Macaca mulatta: one gene and its partner. The protein of the gene in region 2 interacts with the protein of the main gene of each other region in a biochemical or structural test. Links are inferred from orthologs where the notes say so. Each region holds a gene or a part of one and is shown on either strand. Other genes may lie near its edges.

Region 1 (3,644 bases), on a different chromosome or scaffold from region 2:
TTGGGTACTCTGTGTGTGTTGCCGTACAGCAATGCCAGGAGAGTAACACATCCCGACTCCACGGAGAGAGAAGAATGGAAGCTCTGCGTTTGGACCCTCCTGATGTTAACTTATGCTGTTTCCCTGGGATAACCGGCAATCTTGAGCACACCCGCTTTCAGTGAGCTCTGGGAGTCCTAGGCAGTTACCGCATCTTGGGTGGTTTGGGGAACCCCAGTCTTGCAGTTGGTGTCAGAAGTGAGTGCATCTCGTGTGGACAGTGCCCTGTAATTTAGCAGTGCATTTTCAGTAGAATAGACATGTTTCTTGGGGGGTCTCTTACATGCCCATCTCTCTTTTGTCTTGTAGTGTTCCACTGGCAGGCCACCATCATGGGCCCGGTAGGTAGTAGCTGCTGAGCACACCACTCCAGTTTTGCTTCTTGCACTTTGGGCTTAGCACATGCACTGATCTCTTCCTGTGTCTCATCATTCCAGAATGACAGTCCTTACCAAGGAGGTGTTTTCTTCCTGACCATCCACTTTCCTACGGATTACCCGTTCAAGCCCCCAAAGGTGAGGTGCCCCTCACAACTCCCCTGATGTTTGAATGAAGGACAGCATGTGACGAGGGGCCCTTCAAGTCAGGTATAGGTAAAAAGAGCTGTACATGGGGCTTCTCTGAGGGCCCACCGCTCCACCCTGTGGTGACAGCCTCCCAGGACTTTAACCACTGGACTTTGGGAATTAGCACCTGTTGTGACCAAGGGTCAGTGGGGTGAGCTGGTGCTGGCCTCCTTACTGAGGCCACAGTTTGAATGCTTTTCCTTGTGACTGTAGCTGAGTCTGGTCATGTCTCCAGGCTCTGGCTCCCTTCTCTGCAGTCCCTTAGAGTTAGGACAGGGGTTCTCTGCTGGGGTGATTTTGCTATTGCCCCAGGGACATTTGGGCAACATCTTGGGATATTTTGGGTTATCAAAACTGTGGTGAGGGGGTACTGCTGGTATCTAGTGGGCAAAGGCCAGGGTATCCCAGGGATTCCCTACAGTGCCTAGAACAGCCTCCCTTCCCGTGACAGAGAATGATCAGCCCCAAGTGTCAATAGTGCCAAGGTGGACACACCCTGGTTTAGGACTGGTGAGTCACACCTTCACTTTCCTTTATTAAGTTAAAAGAATAGCAAACCTCCTTTGCCCTTTATGCACACACCATCCCATCAGTGGAGTTTTAGAGAGCAGTGCCACCAGAGGGAAGGAGAAGCCCAGGGAGCTGCCTCAACCACCCTGCCCTAGCATGTATTATGCACTGCAGGTCGTCTCATCCCCTGGACCCTTGCACCTCATACTCCTTCTTACCTGGGCTCTGCATGGGTAGCTGAGCCTGCTCTGAGGCTCACAGTCCTGTGGAGGAGGCAGGGCATTTAGCGTGTGAGCCAGTCAGCACTGTCAGCACTGGGGAGGAGCACAAGCAGTGGTTGGCAGCAGGAGCTGGGGTGGTGGGGAGATAGCCCTGAGAAGGGGGAACTGCAGAAGCTCAGCAAGGGGGCAGACGGGTCCCCAGGAAACTGCCCCAGGGGAGTGAGCGTGTGAGGAGTTGGGAAGGAGGCCAGAGAGGTACGGATGGCCCCAGGAGTAGGGTCTGCACGCCATTGTGGGGATTGCCACACCAAAACGATCACTCTGCTGCCTTGTGGAGGAGGCTGGGTTCAAGCGATTCTCCTGCCTCAGCCTCCTGAGTAGCTGGGACTACAGGTACTTGCCATCACACGTGGCTAATTTTTGTATTATTTTTAGTAGAGACAGGGTTTCACAATGTTGGCCAGGCTGGTCTCGAACTCCTGGCCTCTGGTGATCCACTTGCTTCCACCTCCCAAAGTGCTGGGATTCCAAGTGTGAGCCACCACGCCTGGCCAGGTTGTGCATTTTGGCAAGACTTACTCAAAAGTCCTGCATCTGCATCAGACACCTTAGCCGAGGGGTTGTGACATTGCTGTGTCTTACTACCTTGACTTGGCCTTGATGACTCAGTTTGAGTCAGAGGCTTAGCTGCTGTTTTGCGTGTTGTTTATCTGAGTCAGTGTGAAGAAGCCACTTCTGTGCTCGCCAGCTGCAGCTCTGTCCAGACATCACCACCAGAGGCTACGTGGTGCCTGAGCATTTTAAATCCTGGTTAAATATGCTTAGGATCCCAGAGACCTTTTAAACTTTTGGCAAGGGAGTGGGGTGTGCTGCGCAGGGCAATGACAGATGCTAAAATAGCTTTGCCACATTAGAGTACAACTGCTGTTCAAGGGGGTTTGGTTGAAAAATCATAAACATGCTTCACGGTGCTCTGATCCACCCCTTCTCCCTTACCCTCTGGAGAGACTGTGGCAGTGTCTATCAAGTAGTAATTTTCTAGCTTATCTCTTTCATTACTGTGTGAGCAGCTGAGGATTTTCCTTAAACAGATATGGATGTAGTCCTGAATGTCTGTTGGGCATTTTCAGGGTACCTAATTGCCCAAGGACAAAGGAGAAACAGTGATTATTATTATTTCTAAATTATTATTATTATTTTTTGAGACAGTTTTTCTCTTGTCACCCAGGATAGAGTGCAGTAGCATGATCTCGGCTCACTGCAAGCTCCTCCTCTCGGGTTCAAGTGATTCTCCTGCCTCAGCCTCCCAAGTAGCTGGGATTACAGGCACCCGCCACCATGCCTGGCTAATTTTTTGTGTTGTTAGTAGAGATGGGGTTTTGCCATGTTGGGCAGAATGGTCTTGAACTCCTGACCTCAGGTGATCCGTCCGCCTTGGTCTCTCAAAGTGCTGGGATTACAGGTGTGAGCCACTGCGCCCAGCCAACAGTGGTTATTATTAAAAGACTAAGAAGTAAGCTCTGTGGGTGAGTTGGGATTATTTTAGCAAGGAGAGATGTGAGCTAAAAGGTGACAGTGACATTCTATGAGGGAAGAAAGTGCTTCTGTCTTTCAAAAACCTCCTTCTACAGGGAACAGGAGCAACTGGATTTATGTTTTGGCACAAATTTTCTGACAATAGGAGGAATCTGGCAAGATTGCATGGTCTTTATTGGAGATATTGAGGCAGATACTTAATATCTGAGATGATTTTGAAGTTTGACCCTTTCTGGGAAAAATTATATGGTAATAGATATTCGAGCTCACATGCACATAACTCTCTTCTCATATTCCAAAGTAAGTTTAAAAAATATTAAAAACTATATCAAACATGCAAAAAATGGTAGATAATTATATAAAGGATGTTTGTGCATCTCCATCTAGCCTAAGAAGTACCAGTGAGTTCTCAGAGCTAGCGAAGGAGGCAAAATCCTTTTTTTTGTTTTTTTTCGAGATGGCGTCTTGCTCTGTGACGCAGGGTGGTGTGCAGTGGTGCAATCTCAGCTCACTGCAACCTCTGCCTCCCGGATTCAAGCTATTCTCCTGCCTCAGCTTCCCAAGTAGCTGGGATTACAGGCATGTGCCACCACACCTGGCTAATTTTTTTGTATTTTTAGGTAGAGATGAGGTTTCTCCATATTGGCCAGGCTGGTCTCGAACTCCTGACCTTGTGATCCACCCACCTCGACCTCCCAAAGTGCTAGGATTACAGGTGTGAGCCATCACGCCCAGCCGGCAAAATCCTTATGTTCCTTTGCCCCAGCCCCTG
Region 2 (4,301 bases):
AGCAATAGTGTCAGCACACTCCATTACTCTCCAGTTATCTTTTAAGAGAAAATAAAAGGCTTCAAATCACCTGTACGAGATCTAAGAGTGCTCTGGCGGAGTCATACCTCTGCAAGGTTAGAGATGTCAAAGGGAGTCCTGGTCTAGCGAGAAAAGGGAGAGTGACACAAAGTACAGGTGCTTGGGTCGGGCGCGGTGGCGCACTCCTGTGATCCTAGCACTTTGGGAGGTCGAAGTGGGAGGATCGCTTGAGCCGAGGAGTTCGAGACCAGCCTGGGAAACAGAGTGAGACCTTGTCTCTATTTAAAACAAAAAAAAATCGGCTCTAGCCTGTAATTCCAGCACTTTGGGAGGCCGAGGCAGGCGGATCACCTGAGGTCAGGAGTTCGAGACCGGCCTGGCCAACATGGTAAAAACCCGTTTCTACTAAAAATACAAAAGAGCCGGGCGTGGTGGCGGACACCTGTAATCCCAGCTACTAGGGAGGCTGAGGCAGGAGAATCGCTTGGACCCGGGAGGTGGAGGTTGCAGTGAGCCGAAATCGCGCCAGTGCACTCCAGCCTGGGCAACAAGAGCGAAACTCCGTCTCAAAAAAACACCCCAAAAAGAATGCTTCACAAAAATTAAAGAAATACAGCGACTGCAGATGGGTCGGTTTCACTATAGCACAAGTAGCGGAAAGAGGACACAGACTGGGGAGAAATCACCCTACACAAGATGACAACTGAGGAATGAGAAGTGGGGACTGACACACGCCACGGTGAAACCGCGCACCACGACCAAAGGCGGTCCTAGGACTGCGACTAAGCGGGCGCAGAGGCCACCCTCCAGGCTTGGCGGGGGGATGAGGGCAGCACTGGGGGCCTGCTCAGTCTGGCCTTAGGGAGGACCTTCGGGGCTCTCCTCTCTCCCCATCGATCCCTGAGCAGTTCCCGAACAGAAATCGGAGACCAGACGGTGCCTGGGCCCCAGCCCTCCCACGCGGACTGCGCCTTGGGCCTGGCTCGGAGGTGGGTCAGAGTCTGCGAAAGACCAGCGAGGGCTCTCAGGTTTCGGGGCAGGCGGCGGGCGCCCACCCCGGCTAGCAATGGGAGTCGCGCGGCGACCGGGCGAGCCCGGTAGGCAGGACAGGACTGCGGCGCAGGTCCGACTCAGGCGGAGGAAGCAGCCGCCGCCCCAGCTGATGGAGTGCGGCCGGGGGCTTCCCAGAGGAGGCGGCGACCTCGAGCCCTTTCGAACGTTTCTACCAGGCTAGCTCACGTAGCCTCGGCCCCGCCCGGCCCCGCCCCGCCCCACCCACTCCGGCCACCGCCCCCTCCCCGGCCGACACTTCGCGGGTGGGGCGACTTGCGATAGCCCCTTTAAGAGGCGTGGTCACGTGCTCCGCCCCCACCTCCCCCACGCGCGCCAGTAAGGGGTGGGGTGCGGGAGGAGGTGCCGGGGAGGCTGGGGGAACGAGGTGTGCGCTGCTGCGCAGGCGCGGTGGTCGGACGACAGACCGTGTGTTTCCAAAATGGCGGCAGCGATGGATGTGGATACCCCGAGCGGCACCAACAGCGGCGCGGGCAAGAAGCGCTTTGAAGTGAAAAAGGTTGGGTCTCGCCAGCGCCTTCCTCAGGGAAGCTAGAGAGGCGCGGATCTGGCTGGCAGGCCCGAGGATGGTCGAGGCGCGGAGTAAAGGGTTTCATTTTAGGGCGTTCCTGGGACCGGGTACCACGAAAGGAAGTCGGGGGGCGGGCCTTAGAGTTGATCGGCGTGACGGCGGCCCACTGTCAGGGGAAGTGTTGGTTTCGATGTGAGGCTGAGGGGCCAATCACAGAGCTGCTTGTTGAGATACGCGGGGTTGCGACTTGGCGGCGGGAGCCAAGCGCCTGAGCTGTCACTGGAGTGGTTGAGAGGTGGGGGAAGGTAGGGTGGGGTGAGGTAGGGTGGGGTGGGGTGGGGTGGGGTGGGTGGAATGGGGAGTCAGAGCGACTGCGGCGGTGGAGGATGGGGCAGTGCGGCGAAAGCCTGGAACCTGAGGTCCTACCGCATTGGAGGCCTCTGAGGAGCCCCGCTAGTGATCTTGCTCCGCCCCTTTTTGAAGCTTGCTTGGGGTCCTCTCACTTGAAGGGATCAGACTTGTTCCTCGCTGAACCGAGGCCTCCATTAACCCCATCTCTGGGCCTCACACCGCCGAGTTAGAGTCTGGAGTGTAATGCTTGGGTGTTCTGAGACGTCTGTTGGCTTTTCCCACAACCACCCCACTCTTGGATTCTCTGTCACGTTCAGAATCTCCCCCTTCCGAAATAATAATAAAAAGCACGGTGGAACTTGTTAAGAAAATCCGAGCCCAAATCCTGTGGCATTTCGGAAGGGTTGAGTACTAGTTGCGAATGACTTGGTAAGAGGGGAAAGCAAAAATGGAACGTGTCTTTTGCATGAAATGCATTTTAGTGGTTTGCCACAGTTTGGGAGAAAAGTGTCGATTCCCACCTAACATGAAAACTATTCGAAATGGAGATTCTGAAATAGGGAAGATATTCCTGGAACATCTGGCTAAACACTGACAATATCCCCCCCCTCCTAGTGCTTTTTGGTGTCTCATTGTGGCCACTGCTGCTCAGTTACAGCCAGCCATATTGAAGAATAATAGAAGTAGGGGCTTTTCCTCCAAGTTGAAGCTGTGATGTGAAAAGTGGTGAAGAAGTTACTAGGCACTGAGACTGGGGTTTGAAAGCGATGAAGGTTTGGGAGTACTTGTAATTGAGGAAACCAGAGTTGAATGAATGAAATGCCACTTTTAATTAAACTCTTACTGGAATTATTATCTTTTTTTTTTTTTTTTTTTTTTTTTTGAGACGGAGTCTAGCTCTGTTTCCCAGGCTGGAGTGCAGTGGCCGGATCTCAGCTCACTGCAAGCCCCACCTCCCGGGTTCACGCCATTCTCCTGCCTCAGCCTCCCGAGTAGCTGGGAGTACAGGCGCCCGCCACCTCGCCCGGCTAATTTTTTTTGTATTTTAGTAGAGACGGGGTTTCACCGTGTTAGCCAGGATGGTCTCGATCTCCTGAACTCGTGATCCGCCCGTCTCGGCCTCCCAAAGTGCTGGGATTACAGGCTTGAGCCACCGCGCCCGGCCTGGAATTATTATCTTAATAGAAGAGTCTAAACATATAAAAGTTCAGAACATCAGTTTATTTTATGGTAAGAATCGAACAAAATTCTAGTGAATTGTAGAATTTGTTATGAAGTAATCTAAGATTTAAGTGATGACCTTGTTCTGTGTACTGACATGGGCAGTTAATTATCCAGCTTATCCCACGATTACCTGTTTTATGATCCAGTCATCATCTTAGTTCATTCTGTTCCCTAGCTTTCACTTCATTGCTCATGCTTCCAAAGCTGCCTGGAAGAGCAGATACTTATTCAGATTTTGAGCGCTTCTGCAACTGCCACCAAAACCTGCACAGAAATTCAAGTTTGTGCTTTTTTTTTTTTTTTTTTTTTTAGATGGAGTCTCACTCCATCGCCCAGGCTGGAGTGCAGTGGCACGATCTCGGCTCACTGCAACCTCTGTCCCCCAGATTCAAGCGATTCTCCTGCCTTAGCTTCCCAAATAGCTGGCATTATAGACACCCGCCACCAAGCCTGGCTAATTTTTGTATTTTTAGTAAAGACGGGGTTTCGCCATATTGGCCAGGCTGGTCTCGAACTCCTGACTTCAGGTGATCCACCCGCCTCAGCCTTCCAAAATGCTAGGATTATGGGCGTGAGCCACTGCGTCCGGCCAGACTAAATTGTTTTAAACTACAGGAAACAAAAGATGACATTCATTTATGTCTTCATATACTCAGTCTTTTGGAGAATAGGAGAACGTATGTGTTGTCTACTGTTGTCTTTGGTATAATAAGATTAACATAATATCCAAAACCTTTTGTTTGGTGGTTCCTTGTGGCCAGAGATCATAACTACAACTGCAGCCTGAAGTCCTAAAAACTGTGTGTGTGTTATAAGGAGAATGCATTGTTCCCTCTTTTTGTCTTTGCAGTGGAATGCAGTAGCCCTCTGGGCCTGGGATATTGTGGTTGATAACTGTGCCATCTGCAGGAACCACATTATGGATCTTTGTAAGTAATTGGAGGAGGATGGGAGGAAGTTGAGAAGGTTGCAGAGCTTGTGGCTATCTTGATGTGACCGATTTTCTTCTTCACAAGCAGATATCAAGCCTACTCTGAGCACTCGGTCTTCTGTATCTAGTCTTTTGGTGTGTTTGAAATAGAGTAGTTTTTTTATGATGTCCTGGAGGCATACCCAGCTTTCA

Evidence for each region. The genes of interacting proteins can lie anywhere in the genome.
Region 1: the proteins of RBX1 (region 2) and UBE2D4 form a complex in vitro, tested with the Homo sapiens proteins (2 studies listed by BioGRID). The link is inferred for Macaca mulatta from reciprocal best matches to the Homo sapiens genes RBX1 and UBE2D4.

The regions. Positions count from the first base shown.
Region 1 is NC_133408.1:84,416,679-84,420,322, reverse strand, and holds part of UBE2D4 (ubiquitin-conjugating enzyme E2 D4), read left to right. Parts: intron 1-29; exon of another isoform or gene 30-159; coding exon of another isoform or gene 160-160; intron 161-348; coding exon 349-380; intron 381-476; coding exon 477-554; intron 555-3,644. UniProt on the Homo sapiens protein: Accepts ubiquitin from the E1 complex and catalyzes its covalent attachment to other proteins. In vitro able to promote polyubiquitination using all 7 ubiquitin Lys residues, but may prefer 'Lys-11' and 'Lys-48'-linked polyubiquitination.
Region 2 is NC_133415.1:10,578,616-10,582,916, reverse strand, and holds the start of RBX1 (E3 ubiquitin-protein ligase RBX1), read left to right. Parts: upstream 1-1,492; 5' UTR 1,493-1,513; coding exon 1,514-1,591; intron 1,592-4,028; coding exon 4,029-4,107; intron 4,108-4,301. UniProt on the Homo sapiens protein: E3 ubiquitin ligase component of multiple cullin-RING-based E3 ubiquitin-protein ligase (CRLs) complexes which mediate the ubiquitination and subsequent proteasomal degradation of target proteins, including proteins involved in cell cycle progression, signal transduction, transcription and transcription-coupled nucleotide excision repair.